Linked DNA regions of Anolis sagrei. The protein of the gene in region 2 purifies or fractionates together with the protein of the main gene of each other region. This does not show direct contact. Links are inferred from orthologs where the notes say so. Each region holds a gene or a part of one and is shown on either strand. Other genes may lie near its edges.

Region 1 (12,511 bases), on a different chromosome or scaffold from region 2:
ACATATCAAGTTGTTATACTTAGGAGCCATGTCTTATATGCCTCTAGAGCAAGTTGAGTATTGCCTTTTCCCTCTGCTCATGCTGAAGATAAAAATGCCTGACCTAATCCACTGAACTGATTAAATTCAGTCACTTGGAACTTCATTCATATTAGGCCAGTCAAAACATAGAATTCCTTCCATGTGGAATGCAAACACTGTGGAAGATGAAACCCTGCTGTAGGCAGGCCACACTGAAAGGTGTCAGTTCCCAGGAAAAATTATCCAGAAGTGGCAGCTAATTAAATGGGCAGCTGCATTCAGATGACTCTCAAGTGCAAGGTGATTTGGTTGTGCCAGATTAAACACTATTTTCTCCAATTCCAGTTTGTGAAATTAGAGGGGCTATTTTGAGTACTTAGCAAAAAATAGAGGAAAACTTTATTTCCAAGAATGCCAATTTCTGTCTACTGGATTCACACAGCTAATTCCAGTTTAACACAAGCAAGACAACAGAATATATGTTTATGATGTGACTCTGTCATCAATGAAGTATATTATGTTATTTATACTCATTTTATTATGTTTATGATACTCATTTTATTTACTTTATATATGAAAAGACACAGGAATCTTATTTCCTTCTTCCAGCAACCCTTGGGAGGGTCCCAGTGTAAAACGGAACTATTCTGATAGGCGCTATAATCTGATCTCAATGTCTGAGGACTCCTCCAATCTCAGTTTAAAGACAAATTCAAGGCAGAGGCTATTAACTGCTTGCTTCCTCCTTCACCTCACTCTTCTATGTACCACTTTTGATAAAGATGTTGGAAAAACATATGCAATATTTTGTTACCTCTGTTTAAGCCCAATAAAGGTATTCTGTAACACAAATTTCAGCATGTGTTTTTGCCATGATATCCATCTTCGGGTTTTTTTCCACATTTTATTTCAGTACCTCACAGTTAGCAGAAGTATATGAATTTACATTACTAGGTAAAGAGGTTTTTTAAAGAAACAAGGTTATAATACACTGCTTGTTTCACATTAATTACCACACAATTGACGGAGGTAGTCACAACTGTCCTGAAGTTTTTCTTCAACCGAAAAAAAAGAACAGGCAAAACTCAGTGAGAATATAGAGCCAACTCCATTGTCTCTATATTACAATGAAACTATGACTATAATTTCAAAGGTAAATGCTTAACCCCCAGATTTAGAAACACTTGAGAAGAGGAGATAGCAGCAAAGACCAAACAAATTTCACCCTAATGAAAAGAAAGTGCCACCTGCCATAATTGTAAACTGTCATCATATTTGCTAGGGAACCATGGCCAGGAGCTCTTTAAGAATTTGTCAGCACCAGCAGCTGGAATACCTGACTTGTACACTACCATCCTGCCCCCTCCCATCTTTTCTGCTGCTTGGAAGCAGTTGACATATTGCAGCTAGCACTAGATTCACAACTGCTTCCAGTAGCTAAAAACCCCTATAACTAGACCAAGTTTTCTTGGAAGTTAGTGGGTGGGGGTATCAAGTATGGAGTAGGATAATGGATGAGAATAAGTAGTTGCGTTTGAAGGAATCACCAATGAGTGTGTAATCACATAAAATGTATTAAAATTTTAATTATTTTTAAAGTTCATTGTGAATTTTATCTCAAAATATAAAGCATATAAAAAGAAAATCCAATTCAAAATAATGTCTACCACACAACTAAAAATCTACTCAACATGCATTGCTGAACCTGCTTAATTTTGTTCCATTCAGTGGATTTCTTCCCCAATTAAGACTGCACTATCAGGCTGGAATCCAATTCACTACAAAATATGTTTCCATTAAAAATAATGGAACTTATTTTTAAAGTATTTGACACTGAGATTTATGCTTATATGAGCAATTTATCAGGCCTTTACAATTTCAAAACAATCGGTAACAAATTACATTCAGCAGCATTTTGGGGATTTTTTATGAAGATGGCTTCAGCAAAATTACCAATTAATTTATATAGTACATACAAGTATATATTTAAAATAATATTTTTAGGAATAAGTATTTGCAATTTTATTATTACATCTTCCATAAATTGGCATTCATATGTTGGATGAACTATCTGTTCTTTTAGATAAACTAACATGAAAGAAGGGCCAGAGATTTGTAAACACACCTTGATTGTAGTTTATATTTACAACACACACTTATTAATTCACCACCCAACAAGATACAAGAGAATTAGCTGTGTGGAATATGCAGTAGAGCAAGGAGAAAACATTGAGGCTATAACCATGAACTACAAATCAAAGGCTACAATGATCCCTGCGTATTTTAACAGCCAAAAGAGAAAGCCAATCACAAAAATGAGCAGCCTTTTTTTGACAGTCACAACCTCAGGGAATCCAATCAAAACACAGTAAGGCGGAGATAGCTTTTCATTGAAGAAATTCTTGAGGACACATTTACTAGCAATTCTGCATGCAAACACAACCACATTATGGGCTGGTCTGTAGGAAGTAAGCCAGCGTCAACATCTGAAACATACATGTTTCAACACTGAGATTGTTGAAGCATGTATCCAAGCAACACAATTTTACAGATCAGATATTTTCACAGAAAACGTATCTTAACTGAGACATTGCAAAGGTATAACAACAGAAAATAAAAATAAAATCTGAAACACAGATGAGAACTGACAAAAAATTGCTTCTTCACACTTGCAGCACATTCTACACATAGGATTTAAAAATAAAATCCAAAACATTCATAACATGGCAAACTCCACAACTTGAAATGAGAAGAAATTGAAAAAATTGTGTTTACACCTTCAGCACATTGCATGAATTCAATTATCAAGAGGAAATAACTTTATTCAAGACTCAGTTCAGTTCCAACTGCACCAGTGGTCTTTGACAATTAGTTTTCAGGCTGCAATTTTATGCACACATATTTATTTATTTATTTATTTGGGGTTCTTGTACCCCGCCCTTCTCACCCCGAAGGGGACCCAGGGCAGCTTACAACAGCAAGGCACACTTAGATGCCTGCCACACAACAATCATCACAAAAGTACAACAATTCAAAGTTCCCACAATTCAAGCCATTATCCCAATAAAATCGATAAAATCGATAAAAACAATAAGAACAATACAAACCTAATTCTTCCTCCTACCTATCAGTGTACACTAACTCAAAGATCTGTTTTTGATTCCACTTCGACAATCCTGCTGATCTTACACATATATGTTTGGGATTAAGTCTGGTAAAAATAATGATCTGCAAGACACATGTACAGGATTGTGCAAACAATTTTGTTTCAGTTACAGAAAGAAACAATATAAGCAAAGATTGTTTACTAACATGTATAAGCACAAATCACAGAGACAGGACATTTTTATTTGTGTTTTACACAAACAAGCAAAACTACTGACAGTTTAAACTCCCTGTTCCCTATAACCTGAGAATGGAAAGGTACTCCATCAGTGTGCCAATACATATGTGTATTTGTATACAAATACATTTACTGCCTATTAGACAGGTTGTTTCATTAAAATCATATAGAAATACATCAGCGAAACAGTACATGTATTTGTATACATACACACATATTCACTGCCTAGTAGCTGCAACATTGCTTCTTTAAACCCATACAGAAATACATCAAAGCACCAGTATATGTGTGTAACTGTATACAAAAATATCCACTACCTAGTAAACACAACAATGTTGCATTAAAAGTATACACAAATATACCAGGGCACCAGTGTATGGGCACATTTGTATACACACACATTCACTGCCTAACAGACACAACAATGTTGCATAAAATTATACAGAAATACATCAAAGCACCAATGAGTATCTGTATTTGCATACAAACACATCAACTGCCTAATAACACATTGTTGCATTAAAGGTATACACAAATACATTGGGGCACCAGTATATGTGTGCATTTGCATAAAAACATATTTACTGCCTAATAGACACAACAATGTTGCATTAAAATTATAACACAGTGGTTCTCAACCTGTGAGTCCCCAGATGTTTTGGCCTTCAACTCCCAGAAATCCCAACAGTGGTAAACTGTCTGGGATTTCTGGGAGTTGTAGGCCAAAACACCTGGGGACCCACAGGTTGAGAACCACTCTTAGAACAAAACACTTCAAAGCACCTGTATATGTGTGCATTTGTAAACAAACACATTCACTGACTAGTAAACACAACGGCATTTCATTAAAATCACATAGAAATGCATGAAAACCCCAGTGTGTGTGTGCATGTGTATACAATCACATCCACTGCCTAGTTAACACAACATTGGTGCATTAAAAGTATACACAAATACACCTGGGCACCAGTATGTGTAAATTTGTATACAAACACATCCACTGCCTAATAGACAGAACAACACTGCATTAAAATTATAAATAATACTTCAAAGCACCAGTGCATGTCTGCATTTGTATATAAATATATTCACTACCTAGTAAACAGAATGTTGTTGCATTAAAAGTATACACAAATATACCAGGGCACCAGTGTATGTGCACATTTGTATACAGCACATTCACTGACTAGTAAACACAACAATGTTGCATGAAAATCATAAAAGGCATCAAAGCCCCAGTGAGTGTATACAAACATATTTACCGCCTAGTAAACACACAACGTTGTTGCATTAAAACTATCCAGCATTTGTATACAAACACATTCCCTGCCTAATAGACTCAACGATCACACAGAAATGCATCAAAGCTCCAGTGTGTGTGTGCATGTGTATACAAACATATCCAATGCCTAATAGACACAACAATGTTGCATGAAAATCATATATAAATGAATCAAAGCTCCAGTGTGTGTGCATTTGTATACAAACAAATCCAATGCCTAATAGACACAACAATGTTGCATGAAAATCATAAAATGCATCAAAGCCCCAGTGAGTGTATACAAACATATTCACCGCCTAGTAAACACAACGTTGTTGCATTAAAAGTATCCACAAATTCACGGGGGCACTAGTGTATGTGTGCATTTGTATACAAACACATTCCCTGCCTAATAGACTCAACGATCATACAGAAACGCATCAAAGCCCCAGTGTGTGTGTGTGTGCATTTGTATACAAACACATCCACTGCCTCATAGATACAACGAGGTTGCATTCCGATCCTGTGGAAACAGGACGTAAAAAACCACCTCACTTCCCTAAGGCCTGGCTACTTTTAAACTTTCACAAGCCGGCGTCAGCATGGACACAACAAGCAAGCAAGGAAGCAGGCAGGGCCTTCTGCATCAAGATTCGGCGAGGAGCCGGGGCTGGAGGCCTCGCGCTCTCCGCCAGCAGCGCCCGGCGCGCTCTCTTTGCTATTCAGGGCCTCTGCCTGCGCTGCTCTCCTCTTACGGCAGTAGCGCGAGGGCCCCCCCTCCCCACCTCCGCTCATCAAAACACTCCGCCAAGAAGATGGCGGAGGCAGGCCCGGCTTACGGTGCCGGAGCGGGGCTTACGCTGCGCCGCTGGCGTAGGACCCCATAGGGAGCGCGCGCCGCAGCGGCGGGGAGCGTGCGTAGCGGCGCTTGGTGAATGCCAATGGCCTCCTTCCCCCGCGAGGGGAGGGAGGGGGAAAGGCCTGATAAACAATGGCGGCGGCGGCGCACTCCAGCCCCCCCCCCCCAGCCCCAACCCCAGCCCCTGGCCCTCAGCCCTGGCTCACCGATTCCTCCTCCTTCTCCATGCCGGTGGGCATCTGCGGCACGGCGCGGTTGATGGAGACGCAGTCGTTGAGGTCGGGCATGTCCTTGCCGCGGTAGATGGGCAGCGGTTTGGCGGCGTCTAGCGCCCGGGCGCGGAAGGAGAGTTTGCTCATGGTGTCGCTCCCTCACAACCAGCACCCGGAGGCAGGCAGGGAGGGGGGGGCGCGGAAGGGAGGGGGGCTGCGCTACGACGACGGCGGCGCCGCGCCCGCCTCCTCCGCCGCCTCCTCGGCCTCCTCCGCCGCCTCCCAGCCGCTCCCGGACCCGGCCCGACACACCATGGAGAGCCCCGCCGCCCAGAGCCGCCCGCAGCCCTAGCTCCGCGCTCGACCCGCTCCCTGCGCCATGGCAAACATGGCGGACATTAACCAAAGCGGCCAGCGATCCCGGCAGCCAACGCGAGAGCGAGAGCGCGAGACACACACACAGAACGAGAAGGAGAGGGAGAGAGAGCGCGCGCGGGCGGAGGGGAGGGGAGGGGGCGCTCTCCGAGGAGGAGGAGGAGGAGGAGGAGGAAAGAAAAAAAAGAGAAAGAGAAGGAGAGAGGGAGGGGGGACTAGAGGAGGAGGAGGGGGGGGAGGGTGCGCGCGCAGCCTTGCCTCGCGAAGGGGAGAGAGAAAGGGAAGGCTGGGCGAATGAGAGAGAGAGAGGCTGGAGGAATTAAGGGGAATGGACCACACTGGGATGCTCCCAGGGAAAAGCCATTAATAACCATTGCACACTGTATATCTATATATATTTGTGTGTGTGTGTTTACCAAAGACACTTTCAGACTCAAAAAGTAAATGTTAATTTAGCTCTATATGTGTTTTTGAGTTATGTTAATCCCACAAATGAACATTACATTTTTATTTATATAGACAAATTAACATTTACTTTTTTTTAGTCTGAAATTGTCTCTCCTACACACACACACACACAAATAAATAGACATATATAGATATGGTGTGTGCAATGGGTAGTAATGTGGGGGCACAAATCTGGACACAAGGCACCTATCAGGCCAATGAGTGACCACCACTCATAAAAACACTGAAAAACACAGCAGAAGAGACTTAAAAAAAACATACAATGCATGCACAAAACCACATATATACACAAATACACAGACAAAACACATACACAGACTGGGCAACAGCAACGTGTGGCAGGGGATGGCCAGTATGTAAATAAACACACACACACATATATATATGAGAGAGACTCTAAAAAGTATATATATATATATATATATATATATATATATATATATACACACACACACACACACATACACTCATGAGATACACTTTCAGACTAAAAGAATAAACACACACACACATATATGAGAGACTCAGACTTAAAAAGTAATTAATATATATATATATACACACACATAATTGAAAGACACTGTCAGACTAAAAAGTAAATACACACACACATATGAGGCACTCTAAAAAGTAAATTTTATATACATATATATATACACACATATAAATGAGAGTCACTCTCAGACTAAAATGTAAATACACACACACATACATATATATACATGAGACACTCAGTCTAAAAAAGTAAATATACACACTCACGTAATTAAGAGACAATCTCTGAGAGTCTAAAAGAGTAAATACACACACACATATATGAGAGACACTCAGTCTAAAAAAGTAATATATATACACACACATAATTGAGAGACACTCTTAGACTAAAAGAGCAAATACACACACACATATGAGAGACAGTCTAAAAAAGTAAATTATATATATATATACACACACACACACAACTGCGAGTCACTCAGAGGCTAAAAGTGTATACACACACACATATATGACAGACAGTCTAAAAAAGTAATTATATATATATATATATATATATATAATTACTTTTTTAGACTGTCATATATGTGTATATATATAAACACACACACATATACAGTATATATATAAACACACACATAATTGAGAGATACTCAGAGAGACTAAAAAAGTAAATGTATACACACACACACACACACACACACACATATATATATGAGAGACACTCTCAGACTAATATATATATAGATTGAGCCATGGCAATTAAAGTGGTGCCGAACTGCATTCATTCTACAGTGTAGATACACTCTTTCATTTATTCTCATAAAATTATACTGAAACAAGTGTTGAATTATTTGCCATCTGCACACGAGCCTAGCATTTTAAGAAAGGACTTATCTATCTCTGATATTTCTTAAAGTGGAAGAGTGAGATAAAATTTCACATTTTATCTCAGTTTTGTAATATTGCGTGATACACAGTGAATAGATCTTAAAACAAGCCATTGGCCACAGTCATTGCCATCAAAGGAAAATAGACATGGGGGTTGAGGATTGATATGGACAGAGAACCTCGACAAACGTGGGTTGCTGGAGCACTATTTTCAGCCAAGCCGAACAGTATGGTCTGTTTAGCTTCATGAAGGTTGCATGAAGGTTGCTTGACAAAAAAGAAGGGAGACAACATCAGAATGATAACCGAGGACACTAAATGGGTGAGATGCAGAACAATGCGGGGGGAAAGCAAAGTGTGGGTATTGTGGTATGTGCTCTAGTGACAGCTCAGAAAACTACTCTCAAAATAAATAGCTATGCTTCTGATTCAAATATCAAATTTAGTTGTCATAGCTTTTTTAAAATTTATAAGTAACTCCTTTTGATTGAAAAAACATTTTCAATCAAACTTTTTTTTAGTTTATGTAAAGGTAAAGGTTTCTCCTTAATATTAAGTCTAATTGAGTCCAACTCTGGAGGGTAGTGCTCATCTCCATTTCTAAGCCAAAGAGCCGGCGTTGTCCATAGACACCTCCTAGGTCATGAGTGCATGAAGCACCATTACTTTCCTATCTATTTATTATGCTCACATTTGCATGTTTTTGAACTGCTAGGTTGGCAGAAGCTGGGGCTAGCAATGAGAGCTCACCCCATCTTGCGGATTCAAACGCCAACCTTCCGGTCGGCAAGTTCTGCAGCTTAGCGGTTTAACCCGCTAAGCTGCTAATAGACTTTTAAGGTGTAGTTTTATTTTAACTACACCTTAAATTCCCACAAATTATGTCTTGAAATATTTGATAGGAACTACCAGGATTTTCTTGACAAAATTCATTGGATGGAGATTTGCCATCTTCCTCCGAGGCTGAGATTTGCTGCACATTAATAGGAAGGTTTTCATTATTTTCCAAAGCACTTTTCCAATACCAAAACCCTTGCTCCTAGCAATGTCTCTCAACACTTAAATACTCTCTAACAAGTAAATATTATCAGTTACTTTAAGCATCTGGATGCTACAAGCTGATGTCCTTTGGGACAAAGTGCACATAAATAGCCCAAGGCAGATTTAAAAATAAATGCACATAATAGATAGAAGCTTTTAAAAATCATGCAATTATTATGGACATTAAATCCACATAGATAGATAAATAGATAGAGATAGCAAATGTGTGTTTTGCTGAAAAGTTAGGGTGCATATACATTGTAGAATAAATGCAGTTTGATACCACTTTAATGTCCATCTCTCAATGCTATCGAATCCTGGGAATTGAAGTTTGGTGAAGCACTGCCGCTCTCGGGCAGAGAAGGCTAGAGAGCTCGTAAAACTACAACTCCCAGGATTCCGGAACAATGGGTCTTGGCAGCTAAAAATGATGGTGGCAAACTGCATTCATTCTATAGTGGCCACTGGACAGAAAGACACACAAAGTAGTGCAAGAAGAAACCTCTGAGGATGCCTGCCAAAGAATGCTACTACAACATGGACATACAGCCCGAAAAAAGTCTGTTGGAAACTAGGAATTTATATATCTGTGGCATGTCCAGGGTGGGAGAAAGAACTCTTGTCTGCTTGAGACAAGTGTGAATGTTGCAGTTGGCCACCTTATATTAGCATTGAATAGCCTTTCAGCTTCAAAGTCTGGCTGCTTACTGCCAGACAAGGGAACAATTGACTGCATAGGAGAGCTGATAAAGAAACACAAACTACAAACGGTCTACAGACTCATTAAGAAAAATCCAACAGATGCTTCATTCAGCAAAGGACAAGAGGGATCCTCTCACTTCTGCAGAAGTCTACCATATACCATGCAGTTGTGGACAAGTCTACATAGGGACCATTGCCCAAACATTGCAGCATTGCCCAAACACGAATCAAGGAACATGAAAGGCACTGTAGACTACCTCAAACAGATAAATCAGCCGTAGCAGAGCATTTGATGAACCAACCTGGACACAGCATATTATTTGAGAACACAGAAATACTGGGCCACTTGAACAACCACCATGTCAGACAACACAGGGAAGCCATTGAAATCCACAAGCATGTGGACAATTTCAACAGAAAGGAGGCAACCATGAAAATGAACAAAATCTGGCTGCCAGTATTTTTTTTAAAAAAAAACAACCTCCAAAATCAGCGCAGTAAATAAAGAACAACACTCAGAAAATATAGGAATTCCAGACACAAATCAGTCAGGGCCAGCTAACACCTCTCAATAAAGGATTTCCTCGGGCAGCAACCAACCAAGCCTTGAAGCTGAAAGGTGATTTAATGCTAATCAAGGTGTCCAATTGTTACATTAACACTTGCCTCAAACAGACATGAGTTCTTTCTCTCACCCTGAATATATAAACCCTAATTACCTCGTTTCCAACAGACCTCACAACTTCTGAGGATGCCTGCCATAGATGCAGGTGAAACATCGGGAGAGAATGCTTCTGGAACATAACCATACAGCCTGGAAAATTCACAGCAACCCAGTGATTCTGGCCATGAAAGCCTTGGACAACACATTACTTCTTAAGTTATCATTACAATGAATCTTAGTCACACCTTCATTGCCTCTAGTTGTCTGTAAATGAGTTCTTACAAATCTATTGTTAACAGCCAGAAAGATAACTGAATTGCCAATTAACTGAAAGACTTAGGAGGTTGTTTTGGTGGCATATTTTACAAGCTAGATAGAAACTAGAAAGATATAGCTAAAGAGAAGAAATTGATTGTTGAAGCATTGTAGGAGGTAGCCAATGATAGTGCTTACCTACAAGGTGTCTCTCCAATCAGGGCAAAAGGTAGCTGAAATGTATTATTTTAGATGAAAATGTTCAAATGAAACAGAACAACAGGGCTTAGGCAGCTGCCTGGCAGCAGTGAAGACTCTGGTAAACCTTACATAAATCTGGTCCATGTGAAATCAAAGCAATGGTGAAATCAGGAGCCGCGGTTGTGCAATGGATTAAACCCTTATGCCAGCTGACCTGAAGATTGACAGTTCGAATCCGCAAGATGGGGTGTCAGGTCCAGCTTCTCATGTGGGAACATGAGAAAATCCTCCCAAGGATGGGAACACATCCAGGCGTCCCTTGGGCAACGTCTCTGCAGATGGCCAATTCTCTCACACCAGAAGCGACTTGCAGTTTCTCAAGTTGCTTCTGACACGATTTTTAAAAAGAGCAATGGTTTTCAGACAATAGTAATAATGAAAGGTTTGGTCAGCATGTTCTTTTACCTGAGATCAGATTCCATGTGGTTTGTTCTAACTCCCCATTTGTTAGAGAAAAGGTAAATAACCCATAATTAATAATAATAATAATAATAATAATAATAATAATAATAATAATAATAATTTCTTCAGGCTTTGATGAATTGTTCCCAACAAAACTGACTAGTACTGTGAGGAACTAGAGTCCTAGGATGAATCTACTCTGTAGAATTAATTCAGTTTGATACCACTTTTAACTACCATTGCTGAATGCAATAAATCCTGGGAGTCATAGTTTTACAAGGTCATCAGCTTTCTATGCCAAAGCCTGCTGATGCCTCACCAAACTATTACTCCCACAGCAGTTGAAGCGGTTCCAGATGCAGCCACTTGAGCTCTTCCCTCAGGCCTCCTCTCTCTCATCACCCTAGCCTTCCTTTTCTCTTTCCTTCCTCCCCATCCCTCTTTCTCCTTCCCTTCCACCCTTTCATCCTTCCTTTCTTCCCTCTTACTCCTTCCTTCCCTCCATTTGTCTTTCCTTCATCCTCCCTCTCTTCCTTCCCTCTCTTTTTCTCCTTCCTTCTATTTCCTCCCAATCTTTTATCCTTCCTTCCTGCTCTCTTACCTTCCTCCTTCTTTCTTCTTTACTTCAATCTTTCCCTTCCACCCTTCCCTCCCTTTTGACTTTCCTTATCTCTTTCCTTCCTCCTCTCTTCCCTCCCTCTTTCTCCTTCCATCCTTCCCTTCGACCCTTCCTTCCTTCCTTCCCCCCTCCTTCCCTCCCTTCCTTCCTTCCCTTTTGTCTTTCCTTCTTTCTCTCTTTCCTTTATCTTTCCATTCCTTCCTTCCATCCATCCATCCTTCTCTTCCTCCCTTTCTTCCTACCTTCTCTTTCTCTTTCCTCCTTTCCTTGCTTCCTTTCATCCTTCCCTTCCACCCTTTCATCATTCCTTCTATCCTTCCCTTTTGTCTTTTCTTCCCTCTTTCCCCCCTCCTTCCTTCTCTCCTTCTTTCTCCTTCCATTCTTCCCTTCCTTCCTTTTGTCTTTCCTTCCTTCTCTCTGTCCTTTCTCCTTCCCTTCCTTCTTTCTGTCACCCGGAAGCCAGTCCCCCTAGAAGGAAGTGCTAGTACGCGGCCCCCAAGTTAGAAAGTCTGTCCATGCCTGTTCTGCAGTGTAGATGCACCCCACAAACTGCCTGGAGAGCTTGCAATGGAGTTACTGAGTGCCAGGTTGGTGGGGATCTCACCCTTAACTTCTGGTAGCTCAACTTGATTTTTCCTTAGC
Region 2 (12,435 bases):
ATCCTCAGAGCTTGTAAGGTCTGTTGGAAACTAGGCAAGATAGATAGATAGATAGACAGACAGACAGACAGATATATGGAATGTCCAAGGTGGAAGAAAGATCCCTTGTCTGTGTGAGACAGGTGTGAATGTTGCAAATGGTCACCTAGATTAGCATTCAATGGCCTTGCAGCTTCAATGCCTGGCGCGTTGCTGCCTGGGAGAATCCTTTGTTGGGAGAGTTTAGCTGGCCCTGAATTTTCCTTTCTGGAATGCCCCTGTTGTTTTGAGTGTTGCTCTTTATTTACTGTCCTGATTTTAGGATTTTTTTATAATACTGGTAGCCAGATTTTGTTCATTTTCATGGTTTCCTCCTTTCTGTTGGAATTGCCCACATGCTTGTGGATTTGAATGGCTTCTCTGTGTAGTCTGACATGGTGGTTGTTGGAGTGGTCCAGCATTTCTGTGTTCTCAAATAATATGCTGTGTCCAGGTTGGTTCATCAGGTGCTCTGCTATGGCTGACTTCTCTAGTTGAGTTAGTCTGCAGTGCCTTTCATGTTCCTTGATTTGTGTCTGGGCAATGCTGCGTTTGGTGGTCCACCAAACCACCAAATGCAGAACTTTTCAAATATTTCATGTTAGTGACACACCTTTTAGACATGCCTCATTTGGCGACACAGTAATTCAGGTTTACGGGCAAACTAGAGGTTAACCAACCCCTTATAAGAAATACGGACACGTACATAAATAGTCATAACGAAACATAAGAGGACACCATATCTGATGCAAACCTTTGATTTATATAAGCTTTTAAAATAATATATGATTTGTAAGATAATAATATACATTTCCAAAATTTTTGTTATAGTCTCCTTATGTTCACATAACACACCTACACACTGAAGCTGAACACATAGTTTGGAAAACTACCGTATTTTAAATCATATATGGTCTTTTCTAAGTATTTCCTAAGAAGTTCCAAATATACCTATCTGAGGAAAGGCCTATCAAGCACACAAGGGCATATCTGTAGCCTTTCAAATCTATGGAATCTCTCTATGAAACCTATGGAAATCTATCCTTGGGCTAGACTCACTCAGAGGAAAATAATGGCCATTTTCCCTTGAACTAATCTTGCCAAATAGACTCCATGACTGGTTCACCTCAAGGCCACTATAAGTTGGAAATAATTTGAATGCAGACAACAGAAATAGCTGAACTGTACTATAAGGCTTCAACCTCATACGCACATACATTGGCTTTAAAACTACTAAGGTCTGAGTAGAGATGTGGAGAAGTACAGTCAAAAAGACTAAACATAGTAGAAGAGCCCCAAGTTCAAAACTGTGGTATATAAACAACACATGGCACTGATATAAAAGCCTTTAATGGATCTCACCTTCTTTTACCTCTTGGATAATTTCTTCAGGGAGAATGAAGTTTTTTTCTGAGTTGGGAAAGGGAAGAATCTCAGACTCATGCTTGGAAACAACATAAATACTAGTGTTATTGAAATAGTTATAATGACAATTGAATATTTATGAAAAAGTATGTAAAGTCAGTATCTTCACAAATAAAATTTTACCACCCAAATGCAAAATATTTCCAAGTATTTTAAAACAAAGAAAACTGACAATAAATGAGAGATACTCTTTAAATATGAAAGCTTTAAAATGAAGTATTTTAACTGTGTTTAAGTGATTTAAACCAATGTTTAATTGTGTTTTAATACTTATACGCTGGAGATATTAAGTTACTGTTTTTCAGTTGTTTTCAGCTGCTTTGCATGTCAATCATAGAGATAAAAGTAAATACAAACAACAAACAACACTGGAATAGCCTGTTTCTTGTGGGGAAACACTCACCAGTGCTTGCATGTCATACATGGTACTCAAGTGGTCCCAGATAACTTTGGAAGAAATCTGCCTCCCAATATTTTGACTGAACTTATCTCGGATACAGATCATGTGAAAATGGCGATTCACACCTAATGGGTAAAGAGGAACAAAGAAAGGCATCTTTTGCTGAAGTTCACTTTACCATCATATAGGAGGCAATACAAGCAAATATCCGAATTGAATAAATAAAACATGTGTCTGATTATGACCAATGATACTGAGGTTTTGTGAGTGAACATTTTATAACAAAGAATCATAGCATTTGAAGAGATCCCAAAGGCCATCCAGTCCAATCCCATCGTGCCAGGCAGGGATATACAATCAAAGCCTCCTTGACAGATGGCCACCCAGCTTCTACTTAAAAAGCTCCAGTGAAGAAGACTCCAGCAGCAGCATATTCCGCTGCCGAACAGCTCTTACCATCAGAAAGTTCTTCTTAATGTGTAGGTGAGCTCTCTCTTCCCGCAGTTTGAATCCATTGCTCTACGGCAGGCATGGACAAACTTTTGGACCTCCAGGAGTTTTGAACTTCAACTCCCACAATTCCTAACAGCCTACCAGCTGTTAGGAATTGTGAGAGTTGAAGTCCTGCTCTATGTCCTAGTCTTCAGAACCGCAGAAAACAAGCTTGCCTCCTCATCAATGAGACATCCTTTCAAATATTTAAACAGGGATATCATGTTCCTTTCTCCCAGACTTCTTTTCTCCAAGCTAAGCACTCCAAGCCTTTCCTCACAAGGCTTGGCTTCCAGACTTTTTTGCCATCAAGGCTGTCCTTCTCTGGACACATTCCAGCTTGTCCATATTCTTCTTGGAGTGCTTTGCACAGAACTGGACAGAGTCTTATTCCAGTCTTATTATCTGCTTTGAACTGGATTATGTAAATCGACACTGCCATATAATCAAAGCAGATAATCTGGATTTTATATGGCAGTGTAGAAGGGGCCTTAAGCCCCTTCCAGACAGTTGAATAAAATCCCACATTATCTGCTTTGAAATGGAATATATGGCAGTGTGGACTCAGTTAACCCAGTCCAAAGCAGGTATTTTTGGATTTTCTGCCTTGACATTCTGTGATATAGGGATGATCCCATAGCACTTTGTCCTCCAAAGCGCTTTACATTTAACCACTTTACTTCAACCAGAGAAGTCAGCCATAGCAGAGCACCTGATGAACCAGCCTGGACACAGCATATTATTTGAGAACACAGAAATGCTGGACCACACCAACAACCACCATCTCAGACTACACAGAGAAGCCACTGAAATCCACAAGCATGTGGACAATTTCAGCAGAAAGGAAGAGACCATGAAAATGAACAAAATCTGGCTACCAGTATTTAAAAAACTCTAAAATTACAACAGCAAAACAGCAGAGAGGAAACAACCAGGCACATCTTAACACCTCTCAACAAAAGATTTTCCCAGGCTCAGCCAGGCCTTCAAATGCTAATGAAGTTGGTCAGTTGAAACATTCACACCTAGCTCCAGCAGGGAAGAGCTCTTTGCCCCACCCCAGCCATTCCACAGATATATTGTCCTAATTGTCCTAATTCCAACAGACCTCACTACCTCTGAGGATGCTTGCCATAGATGCAGGCGAAACATCAGGAGAAATGCTTCTAGAACATGGCCCTATAGCCCGAAAAAACCCACAAGAACCTAGTGATTCCAGCCATGAAAGCCTTCGACAATACACTTTACATTTCTTTAAGTCTGCTCATATGCCCTTCCACAAACACCAGTATCACCTTGCGTTCATGTCCCAGCATTATTTCCAATTTTAACTCTACATTTGGCCTTCCCACTGTTTTTAATTATGTGTTGTTTTATTGATAATGTTGTGTAATTTATTGTCTTTGGTTTTTTTTAATTACTTGCTTAAGTGGCTGAGGGGGGGAAAGGAAAGGGCCTGAGGCTGTTAGGAATTGTGGGAGTTGAAGTCCAAAACACCTGGAGGTCCCAATTTGCCTAGGCCTGTTATAATAATAATAGTTATTATTATTATTATTAAACTTTATTTGTACCCCGCTAGCATCTCCCAAAGGATTCGATGCGGCTTACACAGGCCGAGGCCTCAACACACAACACAACAATACAATCTAAGCAAATCAAACAATTAAAAACAGAATAAAGCAAAATAAACAACAGGCACAATACACTAAACACAATAAAACTGGGCCGGGCCAGAGTAATGGGTACAAGATCAAAAGTGTATATAGGGCTTCTAGGGCAAGTGCGATGTGCGGTGTGCAGCAATCATTGGTTCTGATAAAGTGCTTATGGGACTTGGTAGTGGAGATTTCCTAATCTGGGAAGGCGCATCGGAAAAGCCAGGTCTTCAAGTTCTTTCTGAAGGCAGCCAATGTAGGGGCCTGTCTAAGGTCTTTGGGGAGGGTGTTCCAGAGTCGGGGGGCCACCACGGAAAAGGCCCTGTCTCGTGTCCCCACCAAGCGCGCTTGCGACGCAGGCGGGATCACGAGCAGGGCCTCTCCAGATGACCGAAGTGAACGTGTGGGTTCGTAGATGGAGATGCGGTCACGCAGGTAGGCTGGTCCCAAACCGTTCAGGGCTTTGTAGGTAAGCAACTGCACCTTGAATTGGGCTCGGAAAATAAATGGCAGCCAGTGGAGCTCCTTGAACAGGAGGGTTGACCTCTCTCTGTAAGGAGCCCCAGTTAACATCCTGGCTGCTGCTCGTTGGACCAGTCTTCAAGGGCAGCCCTACGTAGAGCGCATTGCAGTAGTCCAATCTGGAGGTGACCAAGGCATGGACCACTCCGGCCAGATCCGTCTTCGCGAGGTACGGTCGCAGTTGGCGCACGAGTCTCAGTTGTGCGAAAGCCCTCCCAGACACCGCCGACGCCTGAGCCTCAAGTGTGAGCGTTGAATCCAAGAGGACCCCCAAACTGCGGACCTGTGGCTTCAGGGGGAGTGTAAGTTATGTGTAAACATTACAATAGGCCCATGATTGAATGCATTTTGTCATGGCTGAATGCTATGGAATCATGGGAGTTGTAGTTCCACCAGGCCTTCACCCCTCTCTGCCAAAGTACAAATCCCAAGACAGGGTCAAACTGTATTCATTCATTCGAATGGGCCTTCCAGGGGTTTGGGACTTCAGTTCCCAGAATGCCTGCTGATTGGCCAAAGCGGCAGAGGCTTCTGGGAGTTGAAGTCCGAAGAGAAAGAGGCAGGCACAGACGGAGTTCCCTCCCACCCTCTCCCCAGCCGGCCCCGCCTCCTCCTCGGGCAGTGGAGCTACTCGAGCCCGAGGCTTCATCTGCGGCCTGGTCCTTTCTCGCTCTGTTTTCTCGCTCTGTTTCTCACCGACGGGCTTGTGTCCCAGCATGGCGTGGAAGAGGCAGACCTCCACCTCGGGGCTCCAGACCACGGGCGGCGCGGGGAGAGGCGGCAGAGGCGGGGGGAGCGCAGTCGCCATGGAAGAGGACGAGGAGGAGGTCGTCAAGGCCGTGGTGGACGCCGCGGCTTCCTCCTCCGTCGCAGTCCCCACGGCGGGGCAAGGCGGCTTCCCCTCCGCCGCAGTCCCGGCCGAGCTCTCGGCTTCGCCCATGGCCTGCTCCGCTAACACAGGCCGAGGATGCGCGCTCGCGTCTAGGCCGCACAGCAGCGCCCTTAGCGAACAGCGCCCCCTCGAGGCCGAGTCGTGTATTACACTTCAGAAGGAACGCAGATTCCCATCACTGAGTCATCACAATAATAATCCATGTTCAACATTTACACAAATGACCAGCCACTGCCAGAAGGGACATAGAGTTTCATCTATGCTGATGATCGTGCCATTACCACTCAAGCAGGGAGCTTTGAGATGGTACAATAGAAGCTCTCCGAAGCTCTAGGTGCTCCTACTGCCTACTACAGGGAAAACCAACTGATCCCTAATCCATCTAAAACACAGACATGTGCCTTTCACCTTAAGAACAGACAAGCATCCCGAGCTCTGAGGATTACCAGGGAAGGAATCCCACTGGAGCATTGCAGCGCACCCAAATACCTGGGAGTCACTTTGGACCGTGCTCTGACCTACAAGAAGCACTGCCTGAACATCAAACAAAAAGTGGGCGGTAGAAACAACATCATACGAAAGCTGACTGGCACAACCTGGGGATCACAACCAGACATAGTGAAGACATCTGCCCTTGCGCTATGCTACTCTGCTGCTGAGTCTGCATGCCCAGTGTGGAACACATCTCACCACACTAAAACAGTAGATGTGGCTCTTAATGAGACATGCCGCATTATCACAGGGTGTGTGCGCCCCACACCACTAGAGAAATTACACTGCTTAATCGGTATTGCACCACCTGACATCTGCCGGGAAGTAGCAGCCAATAGTGAAAGGACCAAGGCAGAGACATCTCCAGCTCATCCCCTGTTTGAGTATCAGCCAGCACGTCAACGACTTAAATCAAGACATAGTTTTCTTAGATCTACAGAGACACTCGCTGGAACACCCCAGCAAGCGAGAGTCCAAAAGTGGCAGGCTCAAACCCAGCACCTCAATCCGTGGGTGATACCAGATGAGAGACTCCCCTCTGGGCACACAGAAGGCTGGGCGACTTGGAAGGCGCTGAACAGACTGCGCTCTGGCACCACGAGATGCAGAGCCAAACTTAAGAAAAGGGGGTACAAAGTGGAATCCACGACATGCGAGTGCAGAGAAGAGCAAACCACAGACCACCTGCTGCAATGCAACCTGAGCCCTGCCACATGCACGATGGAGGACCTTCTTGCGGCAACACCAGAGGCACTCCAAGTGGCCAGATACTGGTCAAAGGACATTTAATCAGCTACCAAGTTTGCAAAATTTGTGTTGTTTTTTTATCTGTTTGTTTGTTTTGTTCTGTTAGAAATGTAATACAATGTTCTGGTTGTGGATGACACGATAAATAAATATATCTCCTGCAGTGAGGGCATTGGTTCATAAGTGGAAGGCGGCAGTGAGGGCATTGGTTCATAAGTGGAAGGCGGCCCCAGTCGGGGTTGGCTTGACACACCTTCCTCTTGTCACGTTTCTCTCTTTTGCCCTCCATTCGTGCCTCTTCAAATTCTGCAGCACTGCTTGTCACAGTTGACCTCCAGCTGTGAAATAGCTATAAACCACACACAATAAATTTGTTTACAGATTTAGACACAAACTAAGCTGTAGTTTGGAGCATCGAACTATAAGGCAGGCATGGACAAACTTTCTAACTTGGGGACCATATGCTATCATTCCCTGCTAGGAGGACTGGCTGCCCGGTGATGGAAGAAAGAAAGGGAAAGAGGAAGGAAAGAGAGAAGGAAGAAAAGATGAAAGGGCGGAAGGGAAGGATGGAAGGAGAAAGAGGAAGAGAGGGAAGGAGAGAGTAAAGAGGAAAGGAAGGAAAGACAAAAGGGAAGGAAGGATAAAAGGATGGAAGGAAGGGAAGGAGGAAGGAAAAAGAGAGGGAAGGAATGACAAAACGGAAGGAAGGAAGGACGAAAGGGTGGGAGGGAAGGATGTAAAGAAAAAGGGAGGGAGGGAAGGACGAAAGGATGGAAAGGATGGAAAGGGAAGGAGAATGGGAGGGAAGGAAGAAAGGAAGGGAAGGAGGAAGGAAAGAGAAAAGGAAGAAAACACAAAAGGGAGCGAAGGAAGGAAAAAGGGAGAGAAGGTAGGAAGGAAGGACAAAAGGAAGGGAGGGAAGGAGAGATTGAGAAAGAAAGAAGGAAGGAGGAAGAAAAGAGGAAGAAAGGATGAAAAGGTGGAAGGGAAGGGGAAAGAGGGAGGGAAGGAGGAAGGAAAGAGAGAAGAAAGGAAGGATAGGATGGTGAGAAACAGGAGGGCCTGAGAAAAGAGCCCAAAGGGCCTGGGTTTACCCCTACGTTCTATAAGGGCTTCTAAACACACTCCCAATTAAAACTTTGCATAATTGGTAGAAGAAGATACCCGTTGAGTCTCGTAAAAGTGGCATAGCTTAGGGTCAGATTAAGACATGTCAAATAAAGTCCTTTGTTTCTTTTTACAAGGCTTACACAGAAATAAAGTCCTTTGTTGCTTGCTTCAACAAAGATGAGGCAAAGTCTGTGTTGCTTGGGAGATGAGACTACCGTGGTTTGTTATTAAATTGAATTTTTAATCTGCCGGCTGACATTAAGCAGCACAAATCACTCTGGTATCATAGATACACTTTGAGGCGGTATTCAACAACACCAGCAGAAATTCCAAATGATGAAGTTTCTCGTACTTCACAAATGACCTTTTTAAGGAACCAAAGAGGGAAAGAAAGTTGTTGACACATTCAGACACCCAGCCGCAATGAAGAGTACTGGCACTTACCTTGCAGTGTACCTATAATGATGACAGGTTCTTTCAAACACTTAAAGCAAGTTAATGGGTTCACGAGTAAGTTCAGCTAAACATCACCAATGGAAAAACCACAGAGCATTAAACTTAGGACCTCTCTGAACAAAGATCTAAAAATGGATTCTGTGTTGCAAACCCATTTTGCTTTGAACTGGGGAAGACCAGGATAACAAACTGATCTTATGGCACAAATCTATGTGCAAGCACTTGAAGAAACCTTTGAGTTTTCTTTTACAGACAAATACAAGAAGAAGAGGAAGAAGGAGAACAACAACAACACTTGCCACAGTTGCTGGAATTTTTCTCCTCTCAATCCTTCTCTTTGTCCCCCTTTTAAATGTATTTTTCTGGAAGAATAGCACAACTATGAGACTTCAACAACTTGCTATACCAAGTTTTTCACATTACCACATTTTTCCAGTTCTAAGATGCCGTCAAATATAAGACACACACTAAAGTTTATACCAACTACAAATACGCAATACAAGTTGTGTATTCTGTAAGGAGCAGAATACACAATAGAAGTTGTGTATTCTGTAAGGGAAAGATGTACTTTTGATTGGCAAACTAAGCCCAAAGTACCATGGATGCAAGAGGTGGATGTTTTGCAAGACAGACTTGCAAACAGAAAGGAAATGATTAACAATAACAACAATAACATACATTTTGTAATTACAAGCCCAGATTTGTGTATTCTGCCAGTAGGAGGTGCAGTAAGAATCAAAGAATTATAGAATCATAGAATTGGAAGAGATCTCGTGAGCTGTCCAGTCCAGCCCCCTGCCAAGAAGCAGGAAAATCATATTCAGAATCATACTTTTGATTGGCAAAGCTTGCCTAGACCTAAAGGGACATACATGTGCTGCATCTTTTGCAAAAAGGACTAGTAAAAGGCTGGAACTTTTGCAAAAATGATTAAAAAAAAACAACTTGAAAACAGTAAGGAAATACTTAAGATGAGAAATCTCAGTGCTTTACCTTTGGAACTGTGCAGTTTCTTCTTCGTCTTCTTCTTTCTCTTCCTTCTTCTTCCTCTTCCTTCTTCCTTCCTCTTCCTTTTCCTTCCTCTTCCTCCCTCTTCCTCTTCCTCCTCCTTACTCTTCCTCTTCCTTCCTCTTCCTCTTCCTTACTCTTCCTCTTCCTTCCTCCCTCCTTCCTTACTCTTCCTCTTCCTTACTCTCCCTTCTTCTTCCTCCTTCCTCCTCCTCCTTCCTCCTCCACCTTCCTCCTCCACCTTCTTCCTCCTTCTCCTTCCTCCTCCTCCTTCCTCCTCCTCCTTCTTCCTCCTCCTTCCTCCTTTCTTCTTCCTCCTTTCTTCTTCTTCCTTTCTTTTTCTTCCTTTCTTCTTCTTCTTCTCTTTATTTATACCCCGCATTTCTCCCTGTGGTGACTCAAAGTGACTAACTATCCCACACTAGACAAGCTTAAAAAGTGCAATAAAATTTAAAAACAATTAAATAGGAACAGTGTGGTTAAAAAAATAGAATTAAAATACAATAAATACACTTAAAATGGCCTTTAAAACTCATAGGTCCTCCAATAGCTCCTTGGATGATAAGAAGAAGAAGGAGGAGGAGGAGGAGGAGGAAGGGAACAGGGTGAAAGAGGGAAGTTATGTCTGCCGATAGAGGTCCCCTAGTGCTGCTCACAAACAGTAAGCAGTTCGGCCATGGAATAGTCAAGCAGTTCAAAGTGATGCCTACCAACACACCCATAATCACATGTCATTGTCTCCAAACCCACTGCAGAAGCACTTTTAAATTATCGCACCACCTGAAAACAGTTTGAACACCAATTCAAAGCACTTTCAGGTGCCTGTAAAGAGAGGGAGTTTGAACCTAGCTAGCTAGCATCAAACAGCATTAAATGATCAGTGTAGAATTGATGAGGCCCCAACTGAACACCAGTTTGAAATGAGTAGAATGATGTTGTGTGATGACAAGCCTTTCCATTCATGGTTAGGGAGCCTGAAACACAAACTGCAAGCTTAGTGTGATAACCTAAATATGCTTTTTGGTTGTACTGGTCCATTTAGTTTTCTTGGCAAGAATACTGGGGTGGGTTGCCATTACCTTTCCCAGGGATCGCGTTTGGTCTGACCTCTCTGCCATGACTGTCCTGTCTTGGGTGTCCCTTCATGGTTCCGCTAATGGCATCATTGATGAGAAGACAGGAAAGCTTAGAGAAGACAATGATGCTGGGGAAAATGGAAGGAAAAAGGAAGAGGGGCCGACCAAGGGCAAGAAGGATGGAGGGTATCCTTGAAGTGATTGGCTTGACCTTGAAGGAGCTGGGGGTGGTGATGGCCGACAGGGAGCTCTGGCCTGGGCTGGTCGATGAGATCACAAAGAGTTGGAAGCGACTGAACAAATAAACAACAAGATGCTCTTTGGCTTTAAATTTGCAATGACTCCTAATTATGGCTGAGAACATAAAATGGAAGGGATGTATTTTCAAGCCTTTGTGCTTTTTGCAAAAGCCCCAGCTGTTTGCAAGTTCTTTTTGGAAAAGATTTAGTACAACTTATAGGGATTCCAACGTATATGAGAACTTATATGTTGGAAGCCCTATAATCATAATGTAACAGTACATTATATGCAATGCAAAATCTTATTATTCGGATTTCTATCTTGACCACTCCCAATGTTACAGTCTGATTTTATGTAGATTGCACCCATCCTAAGTAATGCTATTTTATTCAACATTTATATCAACATTTATCTCCCATCTTCCCCACCATTATAATACAATCTTTCTCAGGAGTGCCTTTAAATTACTGCGAAATGATGCCTAACAAATAGGAATCAATCTATTTTTATGATATTAAAATGCAAACTGTCTTCACGTACAAGCTGCAAAAGGAATACGCAAATCTCATGACAAATAAATAAAGATCATTCAGTGAATTCCTTAACAGAATTTCTCAGTTTTCATAATGGTAAGACCTGTTCTTATTTGATAAAACAAAATAGATGCAAATAAAACAAAATAGATGCAAATAAAACAGCTCAAAATGTAAAACAATTATCAGTCGTTGCATTATTTTAGACTACAAATTATCTAACAAATGAAAGTAAAACAAAACAATGGATGAAATCATGAGACCCCAAAAACACATTTTAACTTTACATCCTTTGTTTCATGCCCCTGTTTTGCCCCCAACTTATCCATGAGATCGACTTATATTCAACTATATATGGTAAGTAGGCAAAATATCAGATATCCATGACTCAGTCTCATGTTAGTTTTAGCAAATTCCAATGGGGATGAGGATGCATGTGAGTGGGAGGAATTAATTACCTCCCTGGAATGTATTTATATAAATCATTATTTGAATGATTGCTTACATAGATAATAAAGGCATTAATTAAAAAATACCCAACTGCAGATATAATGTTGCAAGTGAACACAAAATTAAAAGAGCATCCTTGGGTGGGAGGGGGGATATACCAGTTTGCCTCATAGATTAAGACATATTTTGGTAACCATGGTTTGCATGTGACAAGATTATGCAGGACCATGGAATATAAGGTTAGATTTACACTTCCATATAATGCAGTAAATCCATCAATTACATGTGTGAAATTGCACATGTGAAAAAATCTTGGAGTCCTCGTGGACAAGTTAAACATGAGCCAAAAATGTGGTATGGCAGCTAAAGAAGCCAATGGGATTTTGGCATGCATAAATAGGAGACTAGGGTCTAGAGACCCAGGTAAGTCATGCTACCCTTCTATTCTGCCTTGGACAGACCACACCTGGAATCACACTGTGTCCACTTCTGGGCACCACAGTTGAAGGGAGATGTTGACAAGCTGGAATGTGTCCAGAGAAGGGCAACTAAAATGGTCTGGAGAAGAAGCCCTGTGAGGAGCGGCTTAAAGAGCCTCCAGAAAAGAAGGCTGAGAGGAGACATGATGAGGGTTATGGATAAAGATGTTAGGGGAAGTCATAAGGAGGAGGGAGCAAGCTTTTCTGCTGCCCTGGAGACTGGAGAGCTGTTCAGCAGTGGAACTCTCTGCCCCAGAGTGTGGCAGAGGCTCCTTCTTTGGAGGCTTTTAAACAGAGGTTGGATGATCATCTGTTGGGAGTGCTTTGAATGCGATTTTCATGCTTATTGGCAGAGGATTGGACTGGATGTCCCACGAGGTCTCTTCCAATTCTATGATTCTATGATATAATGCACTTCCAAACTGCATTACATGACA

Evidence for each region.
Region 1: the proteins of MRGBP (region 2) and EPC2 purify together in Homo sapiens (co-immunoprecipitation; 4 studies listed by BioGRID and IntAct, counting the BioPlex papers as one, with this or other methods). This does not show direct contact. The link is inferred for Anolis sagrei from reciprocal best matches to the Homo sapiens genes MRGBP and EPC2.

The regions. Positions count from the first base shown.
Region 1 is NC_090021.1:206,269,126-206,281,636, forward strand, and holds the start of EPC2 (enhancer of polycomb homolog 2), read right to left. Parts: upstream 6,152-12,511; 5' UTR 5,844-6,151; coding exon 5,691-5,843; intron 1-5,690. UniProt on the Homo sapiens protein: May play a role in transcription or DNA repair.
Region 2 is NC_090024.1:234,245,764-234,258,198, reverse strand, and holds the start of MRGBP (MRG/MORF4L-binding protein), read right to left. Parts: upstream 5,520-12,435; 5' UTR 5,453-5,519; coding exon 5,209-5,452; intron 1,969-5,208; coding exon 1,847-1,968; intron 1,463-1,846; coding exon 1,381-1,462; intron 1-1,380.